Lepisosteus oculatus: one gene and its partner. The protein of the gene in region 1 interacts with the protein of each later gene in a biochemical or structural test. Links are inferred from orthologs where the notes say so. Each region holds a gene or a part of one and is shown on either strand. Other genes may lie near its edges.

What was found.
Region 2: the proteins of copa (region 1) and cope form a complex in vitro, tested with the Homo sapiens proteins (3 studies listed by BioGRID, with this or other methods). The link is inferred for Lepisosteus oculatus from reciprocal best matches to the Homo sapiens genes COPA and COPE.

Annotation. Positions count from the first base shown.
Region 1 is NC_090699.1:8,458,868-8,474,783, forward strand, and holds the start of copa (coatomer subunit alpha), read left to right. Parts: upstream 1-7,302; 5' UTR 7,303-7,380; intron 7,381-7,387; exon of another isoform or gene 7,388-7,474; 5' UTR 7,475-7,524; coding exon 7,525-7,564; intron 7,565-8,487; coding exon 8,488-8,601; intron 8,602-9,065; coding exon 9,066-9,139; intron 9,140-10,295; coding exon 10,296-10,376; intron 10,377-10,793; coding exon 10,794-10,870; intron 10,871-11,431; coding exon 11,432-11,541; intron 11,542-14,488; coding exon 14,489-14,598; intron 14,599-14,738; coding exon 14,739-14,838; intron 14,839-15,457; coding exon 15,458-15,676; intron 15,677-15,916. Other genes in the region: ncstn (nicastrin), read right to left, coding at 607-730, 2,124-2,228, 4,349-4,430. UniProt on the Homo sapiens protein: The coatomer is a cytosolic protein complex that binds to dilysine motifs and reversibly associates with Golgi non-clathrin-coated vesicles, which further mediate biosynthetic protein transport from the ER, via the Golgi up to the trans Golgi network.
Region 2 is NC_090724.1:5,801,280-5,817,332, reverse strand, and holds cope (coatomer subunit epsilon), read right to left. Parts: upstream 6,977-16,053; 5' UTR 6,962-6,976; coding exon 6,812-6,961; intron 6,233-6,811; coding exon 6,170-6,232; intron 5,696-6,169; coding exon 5,595-5,695; intron 5,189-5,594; coding exon 5,036-5,188; intron 4,461-5,035; coding exon 4,407-4,460; intron 4,023-4,406; coding exon 3,941-4,022; intron 3,324-3,940; coding exon 3,168-3,323; intron 2,082-3,167; coding exon 2,013-2,081; intron 1,434-2,012; coding exon 1,359-1,433; intron 887-1,358; coding exon 839-886; 3' UTR 516-838; downstream 1-515. Other genes in the region: tnfaip8l1 (tumor necrosis factor alpha-induced protein 8-like protein 1), read left to right, coding at 15,453-15,486. UniProt on the Homo sapiens protein: The coatomer is a cytosolic protein complex that binds to dilysine motifs and reversibly associates with Golgi non-clathrin-coated vesicles, which further mediate biosynthetic protein transport from the ER, via the Golgi up to the trans Golgi network.

The DNA of each region.
Region 1 (15,916 bases):
AATAATCACAGAGGGCCCAGATTTAAACTAAACATCTAGATGGCTGCAAGAGGAAAAAAAAACAGTCTTATATTTTGCCCGAGTCTCCTTGTTTCTTGTACAAGCTCTTGCCTTTACCAATCACGGTCTCCTCATAACCCCCTCTCTGAACTGGCTTCATCACTCTGCTCTCCTCCCCACTGAGAGCTGGTGTGTGGTGAGAGTACTGGAGCATCATCCAGGTGGGGCTGCACACTGGTGGTGGTGGAGGGGATCCCCATTACCTGTAAAGCTCTTTGGGTGGAGTGTCCAGAAAAGCGCTATATAAGTGTAAGGAATTATTAATATTTTATTAATATGATCACCCAATGGTTCAAATCTCTGTTGCTATGCATTTTTTGCGATTACTAGCCATGCCCAAGCCTGGATCAGAACAAACTGATCGGTGGGACCAGATCTAGGAAGGGACTGACCCGTTCAACCTGATGAAATAATAAACTGGATGCATTTCAGTTAAGTAGTTATAAATTTCAGAAAAAAAAACACAAGAGGCCTGAAGCAGGAGAGGAGCATCACTGGGAAAGAAGGAAGAGACGGAGCCGGAGTGTGGGGAGGGTGGACTCGTACCTGGTGAACAGGTGCGCCTCCAGCAGGACCATGTAAGGCGGGTTGGGCCCACTGGCCAGGACCCAGTTCAGATCCGATTCAGCCTCCACCACATGGATCACACCGGTGTCGCCCGAGATGGAGGCTGACGGACAGGGAAGGAGAGAAGTCTCAGAACTAGTCTTATCCACCCTTGTCATCGGCATCGAACGCAAGGCGAACTATATAGGCAGCCGCCAGCACCAGCCACCTGACGAACAACTGGGCGACTTGTGTTCAAGGGGGGCTGCCACCCCAGTTTCTCGAACTGGTTATTAAATCTTGGTAAGGAAATAAATTCCTTGACCATACAGAAACAGATGTACAGATTCCAAATGAAAAATAAAATCGTGAAAGTAGTGCAAGTCGCCGGGCGAGAGCGACAATTCACTAGAATTGTGACGTGAAGCGGCCCTTCCTGCTCACTAGTCACTGTAATAATTATTGTAATGTGATGTACGAGTGAATAAGTCCAGGTTGTGCAGCAGACATTTCACAGCAGAAATGTTCCAATGTGACCTGCAGGCAGAGTTGACTAGGAAGTAGTATTTGTTGGCAAAACCGTCTCAAAGTCGAGAGCAATGTTTCTGCTGGCTTAAAAGAGATGGATTCACAAGCCTGCTTGTTTACAGTGCAAGAGGGCTGCTTCACCTCACCAGACGTTTCGGTGCCTTGTTCTGAATCGCAGAACATGACGCTGCTCACACGTGGAAATGCTGTCTATTTTGCGATGTGAATTGGAGGTTTTACAAGTTACCGTGTACCGTTTACTCTTACGGTGGTTTGAAAGGCACCCATTGGATTCTTTCCAACCCCGAAACAGGAAAGCGGCGTTGCAGCTCCCCTTGAAACCCACGCCGTGTAGACTGACCCACCTCAAGCCCGAACCTGCCCAGAGTCAGATCACTCCACTCCGCTTGACAGACTCCTACCGGCAGATCGGCTCGGCTGACTTGCACGAAATTTGACTTGCGCAACGGTTTCCCGGATGAACCTCTTGCGATTCCCCCCCCCCCCCCCGAGAGCCATGCACGTTCACGGTTTCGCTCACTTTTACTCAGTTTTACGGTAGCAGGTTCCTACCCTGACCTATTCTCTACACTCCTAGGAGCGCATCGAGCAATATATTGAACGCACTTGCATCCAGCAAGCAAATGAGAAGACAGACGTCAGTCATGGATTAAACAGACTCTGCAGCAATAAAAAGAAAAACCCCAGGATTTAGGTAGTGGACGTTATTTAGTTTAAATACATCAGTTCCAACATCCATATCCATAAAGATGTCCACAAGCTGGAATTAGCTTGGATTGAATTCCAGGCCATTTTAAGTCAAGTGGAAGGGCCAGAGACCGAATTTTATACAGCGACCTGGAGTTTATACAGCGCAAACCGTGGCATACCCTGACCCCCCCCCCCACCTACTACCGGAGGTGCCAGCCCCCGCCATCTTCCTCCCACCACCCTCGCCCACCCGCCAGCCCCCGCCAACCGCTACTCACACTGGCAGCCGATCTGGTGGGTGGAGTTGAGCAGGCGCACGCAGGGGGCCGTGTTGTTCAGGAGCACGTAGATCTTCTGCTCCACCGAGTTGGCCAGGGTCCCCGCTGGGGAAGAGAAAGAGAGAGCCGCCGTTATCATCATCATCATCATCAGCAGCAGCAGCAGCGCCACCACTAGGGGCCCAAGCGGCTTTGCTAGTGGAACCAATACAGATCCCAACGCCGCCGAGCTCCGCGTCCTGGCTGGAGGAGGGGTTGGGGGGGCGAAACAGGTCGCAGACTTCGAGCGCTTGCTGCACATAAGAGGGACACGACCAAATACCAACGTTCCATCATCAGACTACCTTCTGCAACAGTTGTGGGAAAGCTAGTTAATGGTTTCTTCTTCTCCCGAACCCGAACTGATTACTCTAACACCCTGCTTGCTGGGGTACCTAAATCCACACTGAATCAACTTCAGTATGTATTGAATTGGGCAGCCGGAATCCTGACCAGGTCCTGTGCAAGTGATCACATCACTCCTGTCCTGGAGTCCATGCACTGGCTCCCTGTCAGTTTTCGTGTGGACTTCAAAATCCTCATGCTCACCTATAAGGCTCTGCGTGGCTTGGCACCTCAGTACCTGTCTGAGCTGCTATCGTCCTACTCCGCACCTCGCAACCTTCACTCTTCTAATTCTGGTCTCCTGTCTGTACACCAAGCCAGTCTACATTGTATGGGCAACAGGGCCTTCTCCTGTTATGCCTCAAAGCTCTGGAACTCTATTCCTAAGGATATCAGAGAGCCACCTTGTCTAAACTCCTCAAATCTAGACTCAAAACCTTCTTTCTTGAGAAGGACTTTTATTGAACTGGTTCTATGTCTGCCCCTTTACGTTCCCACTGTATTCCAAACCCTTATTGTAATTGTTAAAATCCTGCTGTATCCTCTCATTGTGTGCTTTTTTCATAGCGTGATGCGCTTTGAGAAATCACTTCTAATAGCGCTATATAACAAAGTTTATTGTTATTATTCATCCATCTATTTTCTAACATCTTCATCCAATACAGGACGCCAGTCCATCACAGGGTACACACAAATACACACACACACACACTCACACCTGGGCCAGTCTTCCAACTAACCTACCAGCATGTGTTTGGACAGTGGGAGGAAATGTGAACAGACAGCACCCCAGGTCTTGAATTGTACTGGTTGTTGACTATTTATTCCCAACACAACCCATCTTCCCAGTCTCATACTGAAACCATAGGACCATTCTCGTGTACTGATTTACAAGAGGGACGGTGAGCTCTTTATAAATAAAAGATGAACGTAACGAGAGAGATTCTCGCCATCGCTCCAACTACGGTGCTTGCTATGTAATGACAGCCAGAATCACCCTACATTTGCTTAACGCTTTTAAAACAAAGCATTTCACATAGATTGAAGCAAGGTACATAAATTAAACTCGCCGCTGAAAAAGAGGACACTGAGAGCGCCTTATTTCAATGCGACATCTTTTATTTAAGTATACAACCACCTCGGAAATAATGATTGGTTTGTTTGTTTGTTTGTTTTTGTAATGTTTGGATGAGCAGAACACTGCGAGAATTCGCCCGGTACTGCTACAATACTGCTACTGAAATTCGGGAACAGGTTCTCATGAGGCTCCGAGTTCGGGTTTGACACACAAACCCCGAGGTTTGCGTATGACTAAATCATATGACCACCAGCAGCAAGTGAGCCGGAGACATCGCCTCTGCTAAGACACAAAAAAACGCGTTTAATTGAAATAAACGACCACATAAAATAAACGCGGATACGACCAGGCATCTGTCCGAACTGAAGTACCGGGTGACCGAGAAACCAACACTGACCGCCCTGCCTATGTGAAGTCTCTCCGGGTTAACACGGGCATGCAGCACGGATTTTAAACAAGTCTGATTTCCTGGTGTCTGGGGGAATGGACTCTAGGGATACACTCAGGGGTTATTAGTAGCAAGTAACTTTATTTCTGTAACAACAGTTGCTCAGCTTCGCACTAAACCTCGGTTGCGATAAATTCGGTATCGCTTATTTGTCGATGTATTAAAGTATACTTTTGTTTAAACTGTCTTGATTCACCTGTACAGAGACAAATGCACAATTTCTTTGGGAAAAACAAAATCTGACCCAAAGCTTCCTACTTCATTTCGCTTTCCAGTCTTTGGTCGACACTGCAGACCGCAGTTGATGCAGCTTACCTGAATTTAAAACGCAGACTACGATCAGAAATAAAATCCACTGTCGTAAGGAAGAAGCCATCTTCCTGATTTTTCGGACCATCAAACAATACACTCACAGGAAACACCAAACCTCCGACAGAGAAGGATGGGCGATCGCCTTTCCTTGTCATAGAAACGCGACGGAGGTGCTTTCCAGACCTCAGTAAAATGGCGGCACTCGCGAGACATCTGTACCCGCAGAACTTGACCTTACCAATATGTCAACTGGCTGGCACTATGTGTCCGGAACACTGAATGTATTTGGTATTTGGAGGTATTTAGGTAGGTCTTACAATAGTGGAATTTAATATATAAACATGATTTTCACTACATAAATATTATATTCTTGCAAACATGGTATAATAATAAGATTTGGTTAGATTAGTCAGATTATAGTTAAATAATTAGTATTGATGAGATGATTATATGTATTATTATTAGTTTATTATCAATTGTTAATTGTTAAGTAATTAACTGTTAATTAATTGATTGATAAACAAAGAGAGTATTCCTTTTTGACTTATGCTTCTTTTTTGGATAGATTCCAGTTACACCCAGGAATATTGTAACGCTTACGGCCGACAAGCACTGTGTGTAAGAGCCGGCGTACCAGAGCGGGTGACGTCACCGCCCTTCCCTGTGATAGCAGGACCACAGCTTCTGGGCTGTGGAGAGATCTCTCTTTAGCTCACGGGGCTAGGTCGCTGCAGAGAGACGCGGAAGTCCCGGGTTCGAGCCACCTATACTTTGGGCCGACCAGATGCGGCAAGGGCGCCCGCCTGAGCCCCCGTTGCGTTACAATATGTTATTCCTGAGAAAGTGGTGAGTTTGTTCAAAGGTAATCGTAACTGTCATTATTGACCTTCCGGCTTTTACAGTGAATCTGTTCTTCAATGGTGTGGAGATAAAAGATAAAAAAAATGCAATAATAACTCCTTAAGGAATCCATTTAAACCCTGCTTCACTCCTCTCTGCATATCCGTCTGGAATTCAAGTAGGGAGCTGTGTCAGCTGGAGAAGAATATGTGAAGGTTTTATTCCATGCTGAAAAAGAAGAGATACATGTGTTCAGCATGGAATAAACCTTTACCCATCCTTCTGTTTGAAAATATGACCTAGAAAATTAGTTTGGACAACCGCTGACAGATACTTCCTTCCTAACAAGATTAAAGAAATACAATTTGACACTTTTTCTGAGGTTGAACTAACACTTAAATAGATTCAGAAAAGAAACTGAAGCATTTATTTGTCAAATTAATATATATATATAAACAACTTTGTTTTGGATAGACTTGTGAAACATTATATGTAAGCTTTTAGATATGAATCTTAGAATTAAGGAGTTTGATATTAGGTTATACTTTGCAAGATGCAATATGGAAAATTAACCTTTTATTTAGAAGTAATATGTTAGTGCTGCTGGGTAAATCTCACATTTACAAGACAAAATGGTCTAAAGTAATTTCCTCTATAATGCTTATATGGAAGAAATTCAGTATTACTTCAATACCATTCAAAATTGAAAAACAACAAGGCAAAAAATACAGGTGATGTAAGTAAATATATAACATGGTGTTCAGATTTGTAATTACCTCTGGCAGCATATTGTTCTGTGGTTTTATTGATCAGTTGTCTTTTGCACACACCTTTTCACTTTTGTTTGTATTATTTGATGTTCAATAAAATGTTGACAAAACACAAAGATTCTCCCTACAGTGTTCATAATGAATAAATAATGGGTCATTTATAATTATTGATAGTGGGTTGCAATTACCTCCACAAAACACAATGCTCACACCCAAAGAAGGCTCCACAGCCGAAACTTTGTGTTTCCTTTCTTCTCTTTTCAGCAGAAATAAACTTTTTACTTGTTCCTTTATGGTCCCGTACTACTCCTTCTTTAAATGTTTATTCGATGGAAATGCGATATTACTTACTGTACACTCCATGAAAAACATGAACAATAAAAAGCCATCTTATCTTGTTCAGAGTTTTAAATATCTCAGGAAACACAGTTTAAGAGTCTCTTTTGTTGATTTTTCTTGTTTAAGATACGTTTTCTCCTTTAACTCATATTATCTAATGTTCAATAAAACTCAAGAAAAAAAGAAATAAATTAAATGAATGCCATGGAAGAATTCGTGTAAGATTTTCATGGTGTGCAAAATATGAACTAATCCTTACACTTATATAGCACTTTCCTGGACACTCCACTCAAAGCGCTTTACAGGTAATGGGGATCCCCTCCACCACCACCAGTGTGCAGCCCCACCTGGATGATGCTCCAGTACTCTCCCCACACACCAGCTCTCAGTGGGGAGGAGAGCAGAGTGATGAAGCCAGTTCAGAGATGGGGATTATTAGGAGGCCATGATTGGTAAAGACCAGGGGGAAATTTGGTCAGGGTAACACCCCTACTCTTTTCAAGCAGTGCCCTGGGATTTGTAATGACCACAGAGAGTCAGGACCTCGGTTTTACATCTCATCCGAAGGATGGGGCCTTTTTACAGTATAGTGTCCCCGTCACTGGGGCATTGGGACCCACACAGACCACAGGGTGAGCGCCCCCTGCTGACCCCACTAACACTTCTTCGAGCAGCAACCTAAGCTTTCCCAGGAGTCTCCCATCAGGGTAGTGGCCAGACTCACACCTGCTGAGCTTTAGTGGGTTGCCAGTTGTACAATGCAGGAGGATTTAGCTGCTGGCCATAAATGTAAGAAGATTCTTCCGCTTAACTATGTGTTAACGTGACTAAATAATACCCACAACAACTATAAGCACATTCAATAGGTTAAAAAAAAGCAAAACAGGTATTCTTTATGTGATAATATACTGCACGGCAAATAACTTCGACCTTCTCAAGATGGCCGACAGCGGAGGTCGTTGAACGCCGAGAGCCAACGTGGAGCGTTTTCCGTGTTGTTTGAATCAGCTTTATTGTTCACAGGAAAGAGGAAGTGGGTGGCGAGGTGACGTGTCAAGGAGTCCGAATCCACTGATGCGGCCCTAGGTGGGTGTCAGGGGAACAGGAGAGGAGATTGAAGTAAAAATATATATATATAACACAATAGTAGTAGTGTTCTAGTCTTCTTTTTTTGCAATAGGATAGACCTTTGTTGGGCTTGAAGACGAGAGATCCGCGGCAGGTGCGAAGATGCTGACCAAATTTGAGACGAAATCGGCCCGAGTCAAAGGTACGGCGGCGCTTATTTTTTTATTTTTGCGACGTCGCGTTTGTCCTTCTTGTCCGCGCACATTTTGAAGACCTCCGAAAATAATCTAAATAAAAGAAAACACAAAAAGAGCAGCGTTTTTCGTGGCGTGATGACGTGCTGCTGCTGCTGTCGTCTGCAACCCAGCAGCCGGACTGGGTGTGTGACGACTGATTCAGCTGCAAACATGGTATAATAATAAGATTTGGATAGATTAGTCAGATTATAGTTAAATAATTCTTATTAATGAGATTATTATATGAATTATGAGTTTAGTTTTTTATCAGTTGTTGATTGTTACATAATTAACTGTTAATTGATTGATGAACAAAGAGAGTATTCCTTTTTGACTTATGCTTTTTAGTTATTTGACTTTGAATTATGCTTAGTTTGTTCAAAGGTAACCGTAACTGTCAGTATTGACCTTCCGGCTTTTACACTGAATCTGTTCTGTACAGCTTGACCGCAGTGTAAAAGATTCAGCATTTATAATGTAATCTTTCAATCACTGATGCTTTTACGGGGGTCAGCCGAGTGAAAACCACAGAAAACCCACATAGCCATCCTGTTTAGAGAAAACAAATCATTAATCATGTTTTTGATTGACCCGATTTGATGTTGGTGTTTTTATAGTTACCGATCCTTCCTGCAATCTTTCCTAGAACGCAACAGGTAGTTTTCGGCGGACTTCTTTTTTTTTCTCTCGCAATCTCACATGTATTTCTTTAAATAAAAACGAACTCGGCTTTTTTTTCTGCATTCGGGTTTAGTTGTAGCGTCAGAAAAGGAAACATTGACGATTAATAAAAAAAAAAACAAAGCAAAGCCGGAGACGTCGTGTTCTGGATCTTGTTTCCCTGTTGACTGAGCCAGTGTGTGCTCTGTCCGCTCCTCTTCCCCCACAGGGCTGAGTTTCCACCCGAAGCGCCCGTGGATCCTGGCCAGCCTCCACAACGGCGTGATCCAGCTGTGGGACTATCGCATGTGCACCCTCATCGACAAGTTCGACGAGCACGACGGTGAGGAAGGCGCTCCCTCGTAAAGGAGCAGCCCCATCTTTGAATAGTTCCCCGGTGATACTGCAGTAAAGAAGAAGCAAGTGCATGAAACAGATGAGGGACCTTAACAACCGTCACTCTAAGAAAATATTTCACACGTCTGATAAGATTCTATCAAAAAGCCCAAGTCTCTGTTGCACAATGTACAGTGTTTTGATCCCCATTTCTGCTGAAAAGAGAGAGGTCAAAGAAACACAAAACTGTGCAATAAAGGGTTCATTTATCATTATTATCCCCTGGGGGATATTTTAATGCAGAGTCCTACACTACAATACAAATAATACAGTAGAACGGTGTTTCAGGGGGCAGGAGAGTTATTTCACATGAACAAGTAATCGGTTTATTCCCTCCTAAAAAAGAGCAAAAAGAAAACAACGTTTTGGCTGTGGAGCCTTCTTCAGGTGTAAGCTTCTGTTTTTGTGCAGGCCCGGTCCGAGGGATTGATTTCCACAAACAGCAGCCTCTCTTCGTGTCTGGGGGCGATGACTACAAGATCAAGGTAATCGTGTTGCTGCCACACTGCTATATATGCACCACGCGCGGTGCACGTGCAGACAGCACTCTATGTGCGGACACGCCGTGTGCGTGCAATCGCAAACCTTTATCAACAGTCACACCATCTCCCCACAGTGTAGACCCAAGTCCACATACTGTGTATGTGCTGGCATAGGTCATGTAGAGTCTACAGTTACATGTGTTGAAATTGTGTGCCAATAAACCAAGTGGAGTTGTTGGAATATTTCAACTTAAAAAGTTCTCAAAGATCTTTTTCTAATCAGCCTATATTAATGGGAGTGCCTTTCCAGGTTAAGGTGGGCTTGAAGAGCAGAAGGTACACAGAAATATATTGGATTTTAATTAGGCCTTTGTCCAATCGCAGTTCTGCCAGAAACACGATTGTCTTCAGTCTTCTTTCTCTGCCGTTTTGCTGCCTGCGTTGTCAGTTAGTTCAGTCTCCTGTAGTGCTGTGATTGGATGAAGACAGGCTGCACTCAAAGACACAGGAGTCATGTGGGCTGCGAGTGAAGTTCTTCAGGTTTGGTGGACGTGACGGAGAAGAACAGAGAATGTCTGAGAGCTCTGTTTCACCAACCCCCAATTCCTGCCAGGATGAGGCCACTGAGCGCTTTGAGGCAACTCAGATTAAATAAGTTGAAATAAGTTTTGATTATAGCTCCATCTATTTTCGAACCCCTTCATCTAATTCAGGGTTAGGGGTGGGGTGGGACTGGAGCCTATCCCAACAAGACATGCACACAGTCACACTAGGGAGTTTTCCCAGAAGCCAGTTCACCTACCAGCATGTCTTTGGACTGTGGGAGGAAACCAGTGCAAACCTTGGGAGAACATGCAGACTCCACACAGACAGCACCCCAGGTCCAGAATTGATCCCAGGGCCTCAGTGCAGCAAGGCAGCAGGGTCACCATTGCTGCCCCTTTTTTTTTGTGTGTGATCAGTCAAAAAATAATGTATTTGAGCAGGTGATGTGTTTATGTGGGGATGGGTGTGGTGGGTCCCAAGATTTTGTTTTTTTCAGGAGGAGTGCCATGGGATGGAAGAAGGTTGGAAAACCGTTGTCTCTGTCAGAGTGGTGTGACTGCTCATTGCGCACTCCAATGTCATTCGGTTTCCAATTTCTCTTCCCTCTCCGTAGGTTTGGAATTACAAACTGCGACGCTGCCTCTTCACTCTGTTGGGCCATCTGGATTACATCCGGACTACTTTCTTCCACCATGTGAGTGTCTCCCCTCCGCCCAGCCCTGACATTATTCCCTCTGCCTGTCTGTTCTGCTCATGACCTCATTGAAGTCTATTTAAAACTGAGAACAGGAGGCATGTATTTACACAAAGGGTGGTGGGAGTGTGGAACAGGCTGCCCAGCCACGCTGTCGAAGCCAGTACCCTGGCTTCTCTCAAGAAACATCTGGATGAGATCCTCAGATCGATAAACTGCTAACTATCAACGGGCGAACCTCTGTTAGGTTGTCTCGTTCCTCTGTTTTAGAAGAGCCTTAATCATCTGCACCCGATCTGTAATGTATATCTAACTGGAGCCGACCAGCACTTTTTCTGAAAGAAGGGTTTGCTTGAGTTTTGAACAGGCTGCGCACAGGGTGAGAGTTTCTCTGACAGATGCCTCTTTGCCTTGAAGGACTATCCCTGGATTCTGAGTGCCTCCGACGACCAGACCATTCGCATTTGGAACTGGCAGTCCAGGACCTGTGTTTGGTAAGTGCATTAAAGACCATGAGATCAGTAGTCTGTGCTCTTAAAGAATATCAGCACCATGTTGATACGGATCAGTGGTCTATGCAGTTCTCTTAAAGAATATACGCATCATGTTGGTGGAGATCTGTGCTCTGTACAGCTCATAAAGAATATAAGCATCGTGTTCAGGCACATCTGTGGTCTGTACAGCTTTCTTAAAAAATACACGCCCCATGTTAGTGTCGATCAGGAGTCTATACAGCTCTTTTATCTGTCCACAGGCTTTGGCTATTGAAGTGGGCTGTAAATCAGAGATTGAAAAGAGCAGAGGGCACTACAGAACTTGGTCATCTGTGTCCTTATATGCTACAGTCATTGTTCTATTTCATGTGTGTGTTACATAGTACTCTGTGCACAGCTGAGAGGGTGTTTTAGTGAGTAATGTGATTTTTATGTTTAAGGTCAGTGGGTTTTGCCTTGCTCTGCTTCCTGATGACATTTCCTTTGATACAGACAGGGGGCAGCGGTCAGAGAGTGCCCTTTCCTAACCCCTAACCCGCCTCTCTCTCTCCCTCCCTCCAGCGTGCTGACTGGGCACAACCACTATGTGATGTGCGCCCAGTTCCACCCTTCTGAAGACCTGGTGGTGTCGGCCAGTCTGGACCAGACCGTGCGAGTGTGGGATATTTCGGGTGAGCGTGTGGGTGGGGGAGAGAGGGCAGAAGGCCAAGGGGGAGGTAAAGGGGAGACCGGGCTGAGTTTGGGGTAATTTGGGGCTTGAGGGGGGGGGGGGATATTAGGGTTATGGACAAGAAGGTACGGACATCCCCCGTAACGCCTCCTCCGCGGGTGAGGTGATGGGCACCCCCCGAACCCCAGTCTTCCAGACTTTTGTCGCCTGAAAGAGACACTGCTGAGGTAGCCTGCTCTGACACCCCTGTGGGTAACAGGACAAGGCAGTCTTCTAAAGGAATTGAGCCATTCAGAGAGATTTCAGCACAAGGTAGTTGTGGCTTGCTCCATCTCATTTTGCTGTGGAGTCTTTCCACACAGCCCCTGATGGCACGCTGTAATTGGCTAACGATGGCTTCTGTAAAATGGAGCCTAACGCAATGCTTCTGAACATGCTTAATTATATACTAATGCTAATGTGAGACAGATTTAAAGAATCAAGTAATAGGTTTATTCCATGCTGAAAAGAGAAGAAAGAAAACGCAACGTTTCGACCAGACCTGAAGAAGACTCCACGGCCGAAACGTTGTTTTCTTTCTTCTCTTTTCAGCATGGAATTGTGGACTTTCCATCAGTGGCTGCCATGCACAACTGCCTTAAACTGAATGGAAAAATTGATAAAACACTGTAAAGTGGCAGTTTCCTTTTTCTGTCACCCCTTTCAAAAAGATCTACTATATGATTCCTCCTTTAATAAGGGAGATATGTTGGTTTAACAAGTGGTTGGATTTACGTGGGCAGAATCAAGTCTGTTCCAGATACTATACGTCGTGTCTCTGGTGATCCAGTGAAGTACTCGCTCTCCGAGTGTGTATTGGAGCTACTGCCCCGTGCGCAGGCAGTGTCAGTCTGTTGTGACTGAAGACTGGGGCAAAGGGTCCACTCTCACAGTCCCGCGGGAAAGGGGGGCGGAGTCGGGGGGTGAGGTTTTGTGTCGCTGCATGCGTTGTGATGTAACCTTCTCCCCTGCTTGCTGTGTGGAGGATGCTGGGAAGTGACTGTGTGATGTCATCGTAGCTCGCGCCTTCTTTATTTGCCTGCCTGCTTAACTGCTCTTAACACCCAGTGGAAATGGCATTCGGCTGCCTTCACACAGAGCAATGCTTTGTACCAGTTTTTCTGGAAATGACCAGCAAGGGCTACCACAAGCCTCTTCAGAAGCCCTAGTGACTACAGGAGAGGGCTTATCCTGGTTTGCTATGCACACTACCAGTACATTTGCACCCCTTGGTTGGGACACTGCAGTACTTTGCAGGTCGTCTCCTTCCCCCAGCAAAATTCTGATACTCATTCATACAGTAGCAATGGCGATCAGGGCAAAGTATATCACTTTAATCAAGGAAACTGCAGGATCCAAACTGACCCTCTGGGAACAGGTCTAGATCCCCAAACGCTGTTCCGTGTTACTGCCATCCCTTGCGGTCATGAGATTCTTCCCCCCGATTGTCTTAATGACAAAATTGGTTTCTCAGATTTTCCTTCAAAGGATTGACAAGTAAGAAAATATACTTCAGTGAGCTGGATTCGCAAAGAGCACTGGAGAAAAAGGATTACTTCGGAGAGTGCTCGCTAATGCGTTTCAGCAGGGCCAATAACCAAAGTTAAAATGTTCCTTTAACCAGAATCCTAACGCATGGCCTGCACTGTGCTTTAGAAACTTTGTGATTGGAGGCATGACTGATCACATGACCTTTTCTCTTCTAACATTTCCCCCGGTTATAATAAATTAGTTGGCATGCAGAAAAAGAGGGAATTCTTTCCCCCAGTTTTAGTTGCTGCGTGTCTACTACAGTGTCTTGAGTTTGGATTTGTCTTAACCAGCAAAAAGCCTCGATAGCAATATGTGAACATTGCAGGTACCCCACAAGTGCTCTGAAGGCTGACCTCGTTCTTTTCTTGTTTTGTTTTTGCGAGAGTTAAACAGTTTCAGCCTGTGCCTGATCGCTAACTGCATGAAATCCAAAACCTATAACTCCTGTACTGACAAGGCCGTCACACAAACCGAAGTCTGTCCTGATCTTAGCCCTATTCCCTCCCCCCCACTATCCACATCCCCACCAGCCGACGGTCCGGCATTGAAACTCTTCCCCCTTGCCCTTCTTCCTTCCTTTTACACCCACACACCACCGGAAACATCTACAGTTGCGCTTTTGGTTCCTGTTCTACCTTTTTTTTTTTTGCTCCTGTTGGAATTCTGTTTATAAATCCCTTTGGATGAACTATAGGCCTGGTGCTCTTCCTTTCCTTTTTGGGCTAGAAGGTACTTGCGTTAAAAGGAGTCAGGTCCAGTAATCTATTGTGTACAGTGGTAAGTAATACATCCTTAAAGCAGTGTTTCCCAGCTTTTTATTCATTTAAATATCAATCCCTTTCATAAGGACCCTGTAAGTGTAGCTCATAGGTGTTTAGGATTAACTTTCCCCAGTACAGTTTTTTGTTTTGTAAAAGGAAGAATATCAAGGTTCCTACAGCTTATCTGTATAAACAGGTTCCCAACAGGAGTAAAGCTGAGCACTTGATGTCCTGAATTTTTTTTGTTATATGCATTTGGAATGTGTTTTTTTTTCCCCCCCATCATCCAGAGTTTTTTTTTTAAAAGCTCTGCGTGTGCAGAAGGTATGGTGGGCTTGTTTGAGAGATCTCCACTGAGTTCTCATCAAAGCTCACTTGATTTTCTTCGCACGTGCTGGGCGTATTCCGAAGTGTCGTTTACCCGATTCGGCGATTGCGTGGCGCCAGACGTCTCGAAAGCCGGGGGGGGGGGGGGAGATCTGTGTGCGTCCTCGCTCGCCTTGCGCTTGGCTCTGTGTCACGGTTTGTCTTCGGTCCCCTTCCCCGCGTGTGGTTGCCTGCGTGTGTAACGTGTATTTTGGTACCCTTCCCGCCTGCCGTGGATCTTGGTTCCAGGCCTCCGTAAGAAGAATCTGTCCCCCGGCGCCGTGGAGACGGAGGTCCGCGGGATTTCCGGGGTCGACCTCTTCGGAGCGTCCGATGCCGTTGTCAAACACGTGCTGGAGGTAAGCTTGGGTTGTTTCCACGTCTTTAGAAATACAGCAGAAATAATGCTGCAGCTTTGTCCCTCCTCTTCCTTGTTCCGCGGGGACTTGGCAGGAGATGGACGGTTGTGCCCTCTGACCTTTACCCTCCGTGCGTCTAGGGCCATGACCGTGGGGTCAACTGGGCCGCTTTCCACCCCACAATGCCTCTGATCGTGTCGGGAGCAGACGATCGTCAGGTGAAGATCTGGAGGATGAACGGTGAGCGGGCTGGGCAGCCTCTATAGCCATGCGTTTCAGCCGAGGGTGTGGGGAAAGGTAGAATTGTCATTTGGTCAAAAGCTCTGTGTGCAGCATGTCATTAACACGTCGAGTAGAAATCTATAGCAAGGCCTCATTTAGAATGTGGTGTATTGGATTATAGCATAGATGTTACCAGTCTGGGATCAGTTCAGAAATGTGTAACCAGATACATCCTAGGCCTCCAAGGGGATACAAGTATTCAGAATCCCCAAAGGTACTGATAAAGTCAACCCAGCAGACATCTTCAGAATAAAAGAATAGAAGAAGAGGAAACTGTTAAAGAGCATTTAAAACTGAGAATGCGGAACACAGCTTGTCTTTACACAAAGGGTGGTGGGAATGTGGAACAAGCTGCCCAGCCATGTTCTTGCAGCCGATTCCCCTGGCTTTCTTCACGAAACTGCTGGTTGTGGTCCTCCAGTCGGGACAGGAGGCATTTCTCTACATACAGGGCCTGGTTTCTTCCAGGGAGCGGCTGGATGAGAGGCATCATGGGATCGGTTAGCTGCTGACTAGCAGGCGGGCTGTGATGGGTGGTGTCCCATCTGTAACCATTCTTCTCTCCCGGCCGCCGCAGAGTCCAAGGCCTGGGAGCTGGACACGTGCCGCGGGCACTACAACAACGTCTCCTGCGCCGTCTTCCACCCCCGGCAGGAGCTCATCCTCTCCAACTCCGAGGACAAGAGCATCCGCGTGTGGGACATGTCCAAGAGGACCGGGGTGCAGACCTTCCGCCGGGACCACGACCGCTTCTGGGTTCTGGGGGCTCACCCCAACCTCAACCTCTTTGCCGCAGGTGAGAGTGCCCCCTTTGCCCTCGGCAGTGCACGCTGTTCCCGTTCACTGCCCGCCCTGTTCTTGGGGTGGACATCTGTTGAGCTCACATGGGTATTGGCATTTCTAACCGTATAAATCAATTGTAAATATTACATGTACCCGTGGGGGCGGCACCGTTAAACAGTGGGTTCAGTTCCGGACCTGGGGTACTTTCTGTGAGTTTATATATTCTCCCTCCATTCGCAGTGGGTTTCCTCCC
Region 2 (16,053 bases), on another chromosome or scaffold:
TAACAATGGACAAAATATACAAAAATGCTTAGAAGGGAGCAGTGTGATTTTTTGCTCTCAGTGCCGTAGTCTGTGAACATCTGTCCATTGTTGATGACAGATTTTTATATCCTTACTCCTGTTCGACTTTAGAACAGTAGCCACCCGTGTTGCAAATGGACTTAGTCGCGACTTTCACATACAGGCTCACGAAAGAACACGAGTGAACGCGAGCCCACGCAAGATGCAGTTCTTTCAAGGGGAGACACCGACTCAATACATCTCTCATTTCCAACTCGAGTATCAACAAACCAGGCTGCAGACTTGCCTCACTCGCTCCAAGAACCCCAAGCAGAAGTTATATTAATCACCGGAGGGAATATTCCCATCTGTTACTGCCTTCCCTCCCTCCCAGAACAAACAAACCGTTGACACCCCTTACATGGGTTTTGGGGTCTCACAGACACCCCATCTCAGCAGATCGCTCAGTGAATGTTAGCTTCTACAAACGCACCGAAATGACCACCTCCTTCAACTTGACAGGACCCCCCTGAAAAACAAACCTTTATTGTCTTTTAGGGTGACAAAATAAATTGACACAAAAGGAACACGCACAGCTCCCAGGATGCTTTGCAGCAGACAGACATAAGGGAATGGGGTCCCGTTTGCATGTATTTACAGCCAATTAACGTATTCACTTCAGGGACAACAAGAGAGGACACTTCCTTTCTTATCCACCTCCAGCTGCAAAATGAGCGACCAGCTCCATGTGTTAAATACAGGAAGCGAGAGTAATGTCTGCCGTTTAGAAAGCAGAAAAACGATCCCCAGGGGACAGCGGTCCTGGCCGGGCTGAGACTCACGCGCTGGGAGCGTACTGCATCACTAGTCGATCGAACTCGTTCTCCTGTTTGAGGGAGGAAAAGGAGGAAACAGCATTAACAGGAGGAAGAAGACATTTCAATTCTCAGTCAGGATCTCGTTTATTGGCCAAGTACATTTCATGTGCAAGGAATTACCTCTGGTGTTTTTGGCGTTACAAAAACAATTCTACATAAACCGTACATAAAACATAATCAAGACAACACAAATAACTAGGAATTCTGGTTGAGCAAAAAGACAGCTCTTGGGATACTGGGTGGTTCTGTTTTTAACAGACTGGTAGCGTCTTCCTGAGGTAAGTTTATGAAACATTTGGTAACCTGAGTGGGAGGGGTCATTTATCTGAGTCGCCTTCAGGGCAAGAGGTGTCATACAGACAGGTGTAAGTAGTATCCTATTGGACACATGTGATAACCATGTGTCAGTATTCACAATACGTGCCCCCTTATGTGGACTGTCATGCAGAGTGGAGGTTTCACAGTTTTCCCATTCCTTACCTTTGCGACATACTCTTTGAGAAAGGGGTGTCCTTTGTGCGAGTCCTTCAGCTGGGAGAGATAGCGGTTGGTCACCTGCCCAGCAAAACAAATACTCTTTTAGGAAGAAGGCTCATTTTGGAATACACACGCACAGAAAAAACAATAGTTCAGGAATACAAAGAACAAATTCCTTTCAATGTCTAATTAACAACACAGCAAATCCAAGTGAGAATCTTAGGTTTCTTCCATATATCTACAAACTAAGCCGATCTCAAGTGTCCCAAGCGTGTAAGGCATTTTGCAGACTTACACCTGCTGCATCCACAGACATGATGCAGAATGGTGAGCCCTATTCAGTCTGGAGATGGTCACCAAAGGTCAAACAAACCAATCTGTTGCCTCTTATCTCTCAAAACTGTAAGCAACCCATCTTTCAAGGACTTCAGGAACTCACTGATTACTTCCACCATGAAAATAAAGTTTCCAGAGATCACTGAATAATTATTTAATGTACATTTTCATTTCAAGGTTATACCCTACCACTTCCAGACTTTTAACTGTCTTTATATGCAGCAACATCTTCGTTTGTTTTACATCAGGAACCAAGAGTCGGACTAAAACACTGATCTTGGAAATGAATGGGATAGAGAGTATTCCCGGGGGGTAGCTCACCTCAGGAGGCTTCCCCAGGTGCTGCGTCAGCACGATGAGGTTGATGAGGGTCTCAGGGTGGCTGCTGTCCTGTTAGAGAAAGACAGACAGAAAGTAAGAGAGTCAGAGTGAGAGGTGGAGACAAAGGCGTGTTTTCAGAAATGCGCGCAGAACAACCAATTCCTATTACTACACCAGAATGTACACAATTCAAATGACAAGATTTCTCTTTGACACTCTCTATTTACTTCTAGCCTAAGTTAAAAAAAATCACCTTTAAGAAGACAAAGCCAAAATAAACCATTAACTTTTTAAAAACCAGTGCCTATGAAACGTAAGAATTTAAAAGACATTCAGGCCATTCCGGTTGCTTAAGTTTTTGTTAGCTAACTACTAGGAGAATTCTGTCGGGACATTTCTTGTAAAAAGTCAGGTTTATCAGCTGCAACAACATGACTGGACAGGATTCTCCAGTTTTCGACACTATCTGCGCACAGATGGGCTTCCTGTTACTCATTTTGCATCAAAAAGTACTAACACACACACCACAAAAATGTATCACACAAAATCTCAACAGTACCCAAGAAGCACACAACATTAGAAACCAAGCTATTGTTTAACATTCTTGTAACAGGGGCATGGCGCCATCTATGGTACAATAAGGTGAACTACAACAGCAATGCCCCCAACAGATCTTTGACCCGCGGCTGTGAGTTATTGGTTTGAGAAAAATCAGCCTAATCCCAGAGGCGCTTGATCCTTATGGTCTATGGTTCGAACTTGGATCACAACCGTAGCCGACCGATAAGGCCCTCTTGCAGTCCAAACAGTGACTCCTAGGACTTGTTGGGCGCCTGTAAGACTGCAGCAAAGGCAGGGGGGATGCTCTACTCCCTCACTCACAGTTAACTCTCCTGTAAGACACTGTGAAGCAGCAGTGTGCCTCAAGGCACAAGGGTTTGACAGGTGAGTGCGTTTGTGTGCCTTTGTATACCTGGGGCAGCAGTGGAAGCCAGGTCTTGGCAAGTGCATAAAAAAAAATCAATGATTTCTAAGAAAAAAAAACAAAATGCTGTAGCAAAGCACTCTTCAACCCTGTCAGAAAAAATGGCATTGGGTTATCAAGACCTGAATGTGGATCACTAGGCCCTTCCTTCCTCTGCATTCTTACTGTACCTTATCAAGAGCCTCTTGCAACACGCCTTCGGCTTCATCCCACTTGTTCTGTGCCATGTGACAGACGGCCTGGCCATTCAGGAGCAGCAGAGTGGCGGAGTACTTGTCCGACATCTCCTGGAAGATGTAGTAGGCATCCTGGAGCTTCTCTCCTCCCTGTTGGCAAAGAGACCTCAAAGAACTCCGACCTCCCTCTGAGCCCACACAGCTAAACAGTACAACCAGTATTCCTGAGGATGCATGGATGGGCATTCACGAGGAACGGCAATTTGAGGACTCCTCCAAAATGTCTCGACAGCGGCACTTCACTCATAGGCTACGTTTTTCACAGGACTTTTATTATTTCGGAACGATAAATATGGTTCGAAAAGGAAGTTCGGGAGGGTCCCCCCTCATCTCTACTACTCTAACGCATCGCTCTCCATGACATCACTTCCTGAAAAAACTATAAATATCCCAGCAAGCCTCTCTCTTGCTCGCATTTATCCTTCGGCGTCATCCTACACCCCTCCTCTCCATCTGTCCCTGTCCCCTGTCTGTTTGGGGGTCGTGACCTCCTTGTTCCTTGCTGACCCTCAGCTAGGCAGATAAAGCCAAAGCTTTTTGCTAGACTCCTCAAATATTGCTAAACCTGTTTTCTTCGTAGGCGTTTGTCATTCCTTGAGAATATCCCAGAAGGAGAGGTCTTTCTGCATCTGAAGCAAAATCCATCCTATGGTGCTCCAGACAAGTCTGAGGTGCTCAAACCCTGGTCTGAGGAGGCAGCTACTCACGATGGCCAGATTGACCCAGGCGGTGGCCAGCTGAGTCAGGGTGGCGTCTTCATCCTGCTCCTGCATCTTTTTCAGCTCCTTCCTGTGGAGACACCCAGCAGTCGATGAACAAGTCTACGCACCGAACACAGTGCCAAATAGACTAGAACGTCTGAATTAATAACTGGAGCATTTCCAACATATCTGATTTCCCTAAAACTGTAGAATTTACCAGCAGGTTTTCTTTACAAAATACATTTAAAAAACTGCACACATAACACCTGCAAAAGAACTACTGACAAACATGTTCTCAAGGTTGGAAGGATGACTAAACCTGCACTCTAAACCAATATAGATTACAAAATAAATTATTTTTGAAATTCACGGCATGCAAATCCTACTACACACAGAAATTACACTGTAATGTTCACTCTCTGGCCTTTCAGTTTTGGCCAAAGATTAAAACATTCCCCCCTACCACACTTACCTGGCTAAATCCAACCTGTCCAGCTTCAGCAGCACCTGAATTGTCATCGCCATGCTATAACGAGATTAATCAACAACAAGATATTTAAAAAAAAAGCCATGTTAGCACATTCTGGGATAGGTGAAAGGTAATAAGTGTACAGGGCATATAGACATCACTGCTGCAAATTCACCCATTAAAGTCTGAACATTATGTTCATTTAATCACGGCCTCTGACATGAGGGTACAGGCTTTCTGAATATGTGGAAAAGCCAAGAGACAGGAACTAAAGCAGTTAAAAACTCTAGGATTATCTCACAACTGATTTCCCTGCAACTTCTTAAAAACATTCTACGTTTTCAAAAAGCAAGGAAGGCAACGGGCATATTCCAGAACATGCTTTTAAAGGCAGACACATTTGAAATCAAATCAATTTAAAGAAGAATCAGACTTCTGAAGTGGCCGCAGACGGCAGATTTTGGATTCTTTTGCACTTTGGTGCCGATCAGAAACATTTTCAAATACCCTGCAGGCAATGGAGGCGAGAGGCTGCTCTGCTTCATCCCCGAGCTGATTTCTAAGCCCCCTGTCCTCCTCCCTCAAGAAGAAGGGAGACAGAGGCGGACACTGCCGGGCTCAGAGAGTCTTACCACTCCAGGCTGTCTCCCTGGTGCAGGGTGCGCAGGGCCGCGTCCGTGTTTATCTCGTGGAAGTAAAGGGAGGCGGCCATGAGCAGGAAGGTTGTGTTGGCTACATCGACACTCTTCGCCATCTTCTTATCGAGCTCCGCCACAATGGCATCCCTGAACCGAAGGCAGAGATTCTTCAAGCAGTTAAAATAACCATTTTCACACTCTCTCTCTCTCTTATGGAAAAAACATCTAGCATGGTCAAACGCACAGACTCGAAATAATCCACAAACATAGCAACAGAGGATGACACCTCTGAGCAAAACATGCAGCACAATAACAGCTTGATCATTAATGAATTTAAGGGCATTTATATGCAGAAAAGATTCTGTCTTGGATTTTTCTTCCAAAATGTCTCTTATGCAACACAGAACTCACATGCATTCCCTCCATCTAGCAAGGACAGACAATCTCATTTACAAGACATGCAGTTAGCTCTGGTTTCCATTCATTGTCCCTTCATTTTGATGTTTTTCAGTTTGATTAGGTATTGTTTATCTTTTACGGACCCAAACCTGACCTTTTGGCCTCGTTAGAGAGGTATTCCGCAAACATTCTGACTGCCTGGAGCTCTGGTGAAGAGCTGGGTTTGACATCATCCAACACCACACCATACTTCCTCTGAAAATCAAAGAGCACGAGGAATTATCACGACCAGTCCAGCGAAGCAAGAGCATCAACCCTTCAAGCTCCAGATCCAGCAGTAAATCAACCCAGGCCAACACCTGCACACAAACTGATACAATACAAATCCTGGAGATGTGTGAACGTTGAGCAAACAGACCTTTTAAATATTTGTGGTTTTATTAAGGTACAAGAATTTCCATACATAAAATAATAACTTAATTACTGTTCCCCTGAATATACTCTCTGTTCCCACCCTCATGAAAGGATTTATCATTATCAATTAATCAGACATTTAGTAAAGTTCAAACAGACTTTGAATATTATAGCCTGGTTTCTGCTATGGTAAAAAAAACATATGGCAAAAAAGTCCCTTTTTTTTGGCCAAGAGACAATGGACAAGTCACAGCAGAGCAGGTGAAAACAGAGAGAGACTCTGCACAGGCATGGAAATGAAGGAGCAGTACCTACCTGAGCTATGTACGCTCTGTACAAAAACACATCTCTCTCAACCTCTTTCTCCGGACTTGACGGCTGAAAGGGAAGGGAGGGGAGAATCACTTTTTAACAACTTATTTCACTTACAAATGTGAGTTAAATTCAGGGAATTGGTTCAATGTCACTGTTTGATATTCCTTTATAAAGATTTAACCTCGAGTCCCTGTCAGCCACTTGAAGGACACGTCCGTGAATCCGGAAAGGTACTGAAACGCTTCAAAAACTAAACCTCTGATGTACTTCTGTGAAACGTTTACATAACAGATACAGCTTTAAACACAGATCCGCAGTTGTGTCCCAAACTCCTCTGTATTTCATTACAACGGCTCGATTTGTCCAACATTATACAAGAGATGCACTATAAATACTGTCAGTAAGAAATCACGATCACACACAAAAAAAAAACGGATCTGGATTCTCCTTGACGACTGTTTCACTCGTACTCAAATATAATCTTTGTTTTTACAACTGTATCAAAGTAGTAAAAACATCGAAGTATGATGTGTTTATATTATGTGCTCTCGGTTCGTTCTCTTCACTATAATAACAGCTTACTGAATCAACAGTGCAATGTTTAAAAAACAGTCCACAATAACGTTTCCAGATACTCCTTACCTTCGCTTTTTGCGCCTCGTTAATGCATTGCTGATAACTACCGATATAATACGCATTTTTTACATCAAAAAGCTCATCAACTTCTCCCTGTTGAGACGCCATGTTGACCGAACCGAGCAGCTTCCTGGACACGTTGGCCAGCCACGTCATCTCCCGAGCTGGCGTTTCCCCGCCCCCTGAGGGTTATGGGAGATGTAGTTTGAAAGTGGCAATTTTTCAATTAGAGATGTTTGAGTAGTGAGCTGCGTCAATGTGCGATGGCTGTAAAAGCAGCAATGCAGAGGACGCTTCCAAGCTGAAAAACAGAAAACGTTTCTGGTGTTCCGCTACTTTAGATTTGGCTCAACAACCAAAACGTTGTGTTTCTCCTTTTCTATTTTTTTGTGAGCGGTGCAATTGTCTGCCTCCTCATCAACAATGACGTAAAGCCTTATATATATTCTTGTTTCTTGTATAATAAAAGCTACTTAAATAGTTTCATATTTTTATTGCTAAAGGACTGTACCGCGTAGCGATATTTGCCTTACAGCAAAGACCTTCCTTATACTGTATTCGCCGTTTGAAATAAGAATAAGAAACTGTATTAATATAGCACCTGTCACTTGTCTCATTATCTCTAACACTTTACATATAGGAGGAGGATTGACAGCATCCACTGCTGAGGTGCTGCCCCCTCCTGGTGACTAGGGGCATCCATTCTGCAGCCTCCATGCACAGGACCTTAACCAAGGAAGCAAAGGGGGAACTCTAGGGAGGCCACGTTTTACAAGCCCAGAGCCCTCGGATTATTGCCCCAGCCGAAGGACGGCGTCTCCTACAGCACAGTGTCCACGGCCGCCATGCCTGGGCAGACAATGGCCTGGAAATTGTGAACCAGGGATCAGAGCGCCACCTACTGGCCGATCAACAAAGCTAACAGCAGTTGCCTCATTTTCCTTAGAGCAGGGGAGTCCGTCCAGTTTTACAGGTAGTCTTTAATCATTCGTTTCTAAAGTCGTGGATCCATTTACCTGTGGTCAGTTAATCAAGGGGTGTGTTCGACTGAGTAATGTAGCGATGACGTTGAACTAAAATGAGAGCAGCCTTCAACCCTAGTGGCCAGCGAAACATTACTCGCTGAATTGTTCTGTTACTTAAAAACGTCTTCCTAGTTTTTCATCGTTTTCAGCACCATGTGCTTTAGGGTGACCTACAATCTAAGATTCGTGCGGCACTCTCAGCAACGAGGGGTCAAAAGTCTCTCATCGCAGTACTAACTCGTCCCAACCTTGCTTGGCTTTCGAAAGCCACTTTAACTTAAAAGTTTACGTCGCAATCGAAAAAAAGCAAAACAACTATCTCTATATTTGCGGACAATGCGAGCAGTACGTTTAAATAATCCAAAAAACAACAATTTTCTAAACTCTTCTTCCAACCCAGCGTCGCGGGGAGCATATCCAGGTGGCTTATCCAAATCTGTCTCCCCTGGAAAACTGTATTCCCCACTCGGCCATGCGCATGCGCTCCGCAAAATAAGCGGCTCCCGCGTGCGTTTGTGTCTTTGCGATTTCAAAATCGGGAATAAAAAGGGAGCCTCTCTGTTCGTGTGCGCTGAAATCCGCTATTTATCCCGAAAGAGTGCACACACACACACACACGGTATGCGTCCTTTGCCCTTGTGAGTTCCATATAAATCATTTCACCTGCGGAGGAAGCAAAAAACAAAAACCTGTGTTCTTGAGGTAGCGGTGCGGTACAGATTTCCAGGGGGAAAGTGACTTGGATACGACCCCTTCGAGTAACAGGCAAGATGCACCCTGGACGAGACGCCAGGGCAAACAGACACGAACACACACACACACACTCAGGGCCAGTAAACCCACTGTACCAGCATGCTTTTGGACTGTGGGAGGAAACCCACGCGCACACTGGGAAGAACATGAAAGACTGGATATAGTGCGGGGAAAAAAAAATCGCTCTTGACATATCGCGTTATTTCCCATTCACATCTTCTCATGTCTTTTGCAATTATAGGCCAAGGAAAGGAAACCCAGCACTACGGATATAAAGTACATCAATCGCGATATAGGTTAGAATGTAATTTCTTTTTAATCAGAATAGAAATCCCCGATCATGTACTGTTTGCTAATGTTTAACACAGGAAAACGTACAATGCCGAGCGTTTCCTTCCCCCTGCGTTAATATGACAAAGCAAATGTGCTGTGTGTCTGGATACAATGGGGCACGGCATTTAATTACAATATATATTTATTTACAATGCGTGTCTAGTTCGGAAATTGTCTTAAATACAGGAATTCCTCTAACAGGCCTCCATTCATGCGACGGAAAGCTGTAACAATACTGTCCAGATAGCATCCGTCTGTTAATATAAGGGACCATGTCTGGTCCGCTCTGGGGCTGATTGGGAAACCCCACCGTGAAGCTTTCCGTCTGAGCTCATAGAAACACACTATATCAACAAACAATGGGCACCTATAGCTGTACGTGTTTCCGAAGAAATGACAGTTCATCTCTGCCACTTGGTCAAACCGAGATAATTAAAGGTTCAGGTCATGAGAAAATGTGTACAGCAAATCAGAGGCCGACTTCGACAGCAGGGCTGTGTATCTTGTTCCAGACTCCTACAACCCTTTGTGTACAGAAATACCTCCTGTTCTCAGTTTTAAAGGAGCTTGCATTTAGTACCCACATTTTGTGCCGGAAAACTGGCTTTTAATTTAGTCTTGATGTATATGCTAATAGTAATAATAATATTCATGTTGCATTTTGAAGCACAGTGGTTAGGACTGCTGCCTCACAGCTCTGCAGCCCTGGGGTCAGTTCCTGACCTGGAGTGCGCCTTGCGCCCGTTGCTTGCCGGGATAATCTCCGGTTTCCCACCAACCCTGATCTAAAAGAGGCGTATTAGAAAATGGATGTTACGTTTTGTGGATATCTTGATATCGTCAGTAGTAGTAGTAGCATCTGGACTGCGATCTCTGCACCGTCAGGAAATGACATCATTTTATTTAAGACGAATAAGGACGTTATTAGTTTGGATTTCAGTTTTATCTTTTTTTAATTAAAAAACGTGAATGCGTGCAGCTGCAGCTCTGTTTGTTTATATTATAACAAATAAATCCCTCTCAGTTCCCTCCCATTGTTCTGCTAATGCCATTTCCTTTGGGAAACTGAGCCACGGAGCTGGGACCCGATTTGTGGATAATTACTGGAAACGGGGCTGGGGGCAGGGAAGGAATGGGGCGGGCACATTACGTTCCGTGCCTTATCCGATTGGGCAGATTACAGCAGGTCCTGTGCTGTCATTGGTCATCCACGTTGTCAATCAAGCGGCCGAAACTCCAGCCTCCCAAGTCTCCCAAGTTTGAAACTTTGTAAGGAGTCAAGTTTCAACCCCCCCATCTGTAACTGATCCCAGAGAGAAAAAAAACTTCTTCAATTATTTACAAGCTATTAACTGACACAGACCATACCGTCTAACGCAAGACGCGGATAAGCAGGGAATTAATTACCCGATTTCGACAAGTTAAGACTCCGACATTGCGAGGCGAAGAGAGAGAGAAAAAAGACCATTGTCTGATTTGGCCATAATGAAGGTCCGGGATTTTGCTGCGATGAAGATTTGAAAAAGCAACTCTTGAGTAAAGTTTACAAAACGGACGGAGAGGCGCTTCTTGTGCGTTTACGCGCTGTATCCGGTGTGCATTGAAGAAAGGAAGGTAAGACGTTGTTAATTTCAAATCTTAACCTATATTCGTGATAGATCGCATTGAAAACATGCCAAAGAACGCTTATAGGTAAGTTCTACATTTATTTCTTGCGCGCAGAGCACGGTTTTATTAATTATGGGGGGCGTTGCCATTAGGAGAGAGCATTTTAAATAAAAAAAAGTGTAGTAACGGTAGAATTAAAACGTTTAATCAGAGTTGACTTCCCCTCCTGGCTCCGCACGAGGTGCCGTTTCTTTGCCAGGTCTATAAACGTTTGAACTTCTTCACCGAACTTGGTGGTGGTCGTGTGTGCGATGTTCCCCGAGAGCTTGACAGCTGTCAGTGTCGGCTTGCTAGTCGAGATAAACAGAAGTAGCATGTCTGCTTTCTCTCACATGCGCTGCCTTTGTTTGGGGGGGTCAAATGAATTTAAAAACGAGCGAGCGCTCTCCTGTCTCCCCACCCAGCAGATCGGTTAAAAAACGGAGATGAACTTTGGCCTCGCATTGACTCGGCGGCAGGGATGGCCGTCCTCAGCTGTGTGTGTGTGTTTCCACATACATGGGTTTGCATGAGAAAGCCTGAAGAGGAACTCTGCACAGTTGCATTAGTGTGAACGGAGATCGATTATCAGTATTTAATTTGTGCGTATGACGAAACGCAGCTTGTTTGGAGGGGAAACAAGCTGTATAGTTTTAGCGGCACTGGCGCGCGTGAAATATATCCTGTTTGATTTGTTGAGTCATAAAAACATCCTTAAGGAAGCACGATAAATCTTCGCCGTGCAATGTCTGGATCTGCTTGCCCTTCCGAACTGCACTTGAAGACAGATACCTAAAGCTGTATCTTCTTACGGTATGTTGGTAAAATAGGTCAAAGGAAGGGACATTGTTGTTGTTTTTTTTCCAAGACTTTGAAATGTTAATGTACCATTTGGTTTTGGTTTGGGGTACATCGTCGCCTCTGCGCTTCGTGGTTCCGTAAACGCTTTGAGAAACAGCTCACTTATTGCCTGGTCAGTTGCAAAAAGGCACCAAGAAACGATGAATACGTCACTTCGTTATCAGCTCTTTGCTGTGGGCTTCAAGTTAACCCCACCGGATGTCGATGTTAGGACTGCGTTTTCTAAATGAATGCGTCTTTCATTAGATTTTTCTCTCTCGCCTGCAGTGCATTTAATCAAAACAATACTATACACTAAAGAACATTTATTGGAAGCTTACAGTTCTAAATCTGTTTGCATAAATACGCTACATTCCTTTAGTTCTTTAGTGGGACTTTGTGGATCAATTCATAATAGTATAATCCCTTGTTAGATAATGACAGTCAAACAATAAATAATCCACAGACGCTTAATTGTGTTTTGCTGGGATGAATGCAAGAAAACACAGCGCCTAACATCTTAGTGATAAAGTGTGTGAACGTTCAGATTCCGAGAGCGGCAGCGAGGAAGCTCATCCGGGCGGAGCAGCTTCCGCGGTTGCCTAGGTAACCCGCAGATGCATCGCTGCCTTGGCAACGCCGGTCCCGGCTATGCGGGGACGTGAAATTTAGGAGAGGTGTGACTACCGAGGACCATGTGTTCTTCAACAGAACAGGATGACTAAAAAGCAAACACACCTGCCAGGTTTTACAGAGAAACGCTAGATCTGTATGTCAATAAACCTTAATTACAGGGATATAACCCAGAAGTAAATGCTTTCCTAAATACAACAGCTAAAGCATGTTGTTACACAAAAGATTACGTCTTTCCTTTGGAACCCAATAACACTATATTAAGTGAAACCTTTAGAAGTGTTGGTATTCCTTGTCAATGTAGATGAATTGTATTTGTTGCGCCGCGGCTGTACACTAGGGGGAGAAATTGCTATGTAGTTACCCGACATTGTACTGTATTGTACTGCGACTGTCGCCCCAGCTGGGTTATCGAGAATGCAAACGTCATTAAAACTAGATTATATAATATTACAAACGCCCTGAGAAAATAAGCAGTTACTGGAAAACATCCTTGCCTGCGTTAGCCAGCGTACAACTTCGTATGAATCCGTTATCGGGAAGCCGCCGGTTCCCAGTAAAGCGTTGAGTCAACCCAGAGCTCATCCCGGAAGACCAGCGCGCAAGGCGGACCTGACCGCTGGACAGATCACAGGGCAAACACACACACACACACACACACGTCCAGCTCAGAAACAGCAGTTATAACGGTTAGCATTACATTTGGACAGGAGCATGTGGCGAAACCTGGCACTGGGAACATGCACACTCCACACAGAAAGTGCTTCCGTCGGGAACTGATCTCGGGATCTGTAACAGCTTTGAATATACTGCAGTAATTCTGGCTGCACAGGTATATTTGATTTTTTTCCACGCCAAAGTTGCATAACCAAAAATCCTCCCAAAAAAAGAGCAGTGAATTCATACCACACCTATTGCACCTGACTCAATTGCTTTTAGACTTTATGTCACCTTCTTTGTACTGCTTTCTGTTCAAGGTTTGTGGAAGTTATTTTTGCCTACGATATCATTAGGGTTCTGCCTGAAAGCAGCTTAATACACCTGCTGCATTATTGTCAAAGACCTTTTTCCCGCCTCGTTATGTCTAACAAAAAAGTTATGCATTATTAATTAGGTTTTTTTTGTTTGTTTGATGCCCTTAATAATTGATGATGCAATGGGCTGAGCAGATCCAAGTAAATCCGCCTTTGGACAGCTAAGCTGTGTTTTCCCTGCTTGGAATTCTGTGGAAACCCTGACAGACACAATGGCCAGAACGCAGGGGTGACGTGGAGATCGATTACAATACTGCGGGCGGCTCTTCCTCTTTCCTCTTGGCTGCACAGGCCCATGTCCGGAGGGGCTGGTAGGTGGGTAGTTCTGGATTCGAGCCACATCAAGTCAGTCGGTCCAGAGCTCATCCTGGTTTCCATGGCAATACGCAAACAAAGAGCCCAGTCCACCACAGACCCCTCTCCCAGCAAACACTGGTCCCCATTCCTACAGCTGGGTGGACAGGAGCCACTGGCTACAACATCAGCGTCTGTAGTGGGGACCCGAACCCACTGCCCACCTGTAATGAATGCAGGGACTGACGTGCAACTCTACACTGCCCGCTAGACTTGGAGGTAATTGGGTCAAAAATAACATTCAGAAATTCAGAGTCAAGTCAAAATAATCAAATATCCTCAAATCAAAAGTTCCTAAAAGAAAGTTCTCCGTCGACCTTGACTGAGATCACCTGCAAGATGTCCAGAGACTCACCCTCAAGGCCACATTGCTCCCTTTCCGGGGGGAGAAGAAAGTCAAACATTTTCTAAACATCTGGATCAGGGTCATGGAATCGAGAGCCCGAAGTCCAGGATTGAACGCAAGGCCTCAGCTCTGTGAGGCAGCAATGTTAGCCCCTGTGCCACCGTGCCCTCACTATCTTTAATAAGTTAGATATTTAATCATATATATGCGCAGTAGTTAACACTTGCCTTCCGCTCAAGGAAGGAGAAGAAATGAGATTCTGACAGCAGCTTGATTGTATCTCTGTGCACACAAACCCACAATGGGCAATTGCAGTCCTGCAGGAACTGCAGATATTTTTCAATTAGCAGCTGATTAAGGGTCTGACAATTCTGTTCCATACAATCATTAAGATCAAAGAAGTACAGTGGAAACCCAGTCCTCTGGAAGCCTTTGAGGATTGGGTTTTCTTAAGGCACTAGATCAGAAATTCCTAACTCCAGTCCTGAGAATCCAATAGGTCTTCTCTAGGTCTCCTTAAGTCACAATTGTAATAATATATTTTGATATAAACATGCTTCTTCTGTCGTCTCTATAGTTGTTTATACAGTAATAACTATATATATATATTTATGTGGCAAAGGCGCTATATAAATTAAACATTTTAGTAAATTGATTAATTTAAGGTTTGACTGGGATTGCACAGCCTCAAGCTGCGACTGTTTTTAAAGAGATAAGAAACCCGTTGGATCCTGAGGTCTTGTGTTAGAAACTCCTGCCTGAGATCATCAGATTCCAATGATATAGAGAAGAAGGAGAATTCCTTACACTTCTACACCACTTTTCTGGACACTCCACTCAAAGCACCTCACAGTTAATGGGGATCCCCTCTTCCAGTGTGTAGCCCCCACCTGGATGATGCGATGGCAGCCAGAGTGCGCCAGTACACTCCCCAAACACCAGCTCTCAGTGGGGAGGAGAGTAGAGTGATGAAGCCAGTTCAGAGACGGGGATTAATAGGAGGCAATGACCGGTAAAGACCAGTGGAAAATTTGGCCATAACACCAGAGTAACACATATACTCTTTTCAAGAAACACCCTGGGATTTTTAGTGACCATGGAGAGTCTGGACCTGGGTGTAACATCTCATCTGAAGGATGGTGTCTTTTTTACAGTATAGTGTCCCCGTCACTATACTGAGGCATTAGGATCCACACACTGCAGGGAGAGCGCCCCCTACTGGTCTCACTCACACCTCTACCAGCAGCAGCCTTAGCTTTCCCAGGAGGTCTCCCATCCAGGTACTGGCCAGGCTCACACCTGCTGGGCTTCAGTGGGGCCGCCAGCTGTAATTTGCAGGGTGATTTAGCTGCTGGCATAGAATGTACGAGCTCTTTGTGTCTGCAACAATGTGTTGTGGTCACACGCAGGCTGTACGTGCACACTTAAGTTAAAAGACTTAAATAATAAAAAAGAAGGGAGTTGTTCCCGGGCGGATGAGAGTGAGGGCGGGCGGAGAGGAGGGAGGGAGGGAGGTCTTCCTCCCTCAGCTGGCGAGAATAGTGAATTCGCGAGCTCACCTGTCGTGGAAAGCAGACGGAGTGCTCCGCTGGCTTTAGAGGAGACCGAGTTACAGGTCAGGTCACACTTCTGCGCTGACAACCCCCGACATACCCAGACAGACACAGTCACTCAGTCCCACCATGGAACAGGACTCAGATTTGGACCTGCTGGATGGTGAGTCACGGAGATACTTGCTGGTCATATTGTGGGTCAATAGTTGGGGTTTTTCTGTGTGTGGGAAAGGGGGTCACCTTTCTGAAACACCGTCTTCCTGCATGAACAGAACAGTTTCCAGAGAGGAAAGATTCTGGGTACTAGATTTTACAGTTTTCTTATTCAACATTTTCTTAGTTTTGTTATCTTTTTTCATTTTATTCATTCCAGTCATTTATTCTGTTTTTGGCAATGTGATGTGAATGTTGTATTATTACAAGATCATAGCTTTCCCCCAGTTTATTCTAAGGAATAGTGAAGAAACATGGAATATGATAAAAATCCTGTTTTGTATGAAGTCCATGCTGTGTTTTGTTTAGATTAATTTAAAATTTAAATTTAAAACCATACATTGTATACAGTAGTGCCTCTTGTCCTGACTGGAGGATCTCATCCAGCTGTTCCTTGAAAGAAGGCAGGGATCTGGGTTCAGCATCAGAGCTTGTTCCACACTCCCACAGCCCTTTGTGTACAGTAGTGCCTCCCATCCTGACTGGAGGATCTCGTCCAGCTGTTTCTTGAAAGACG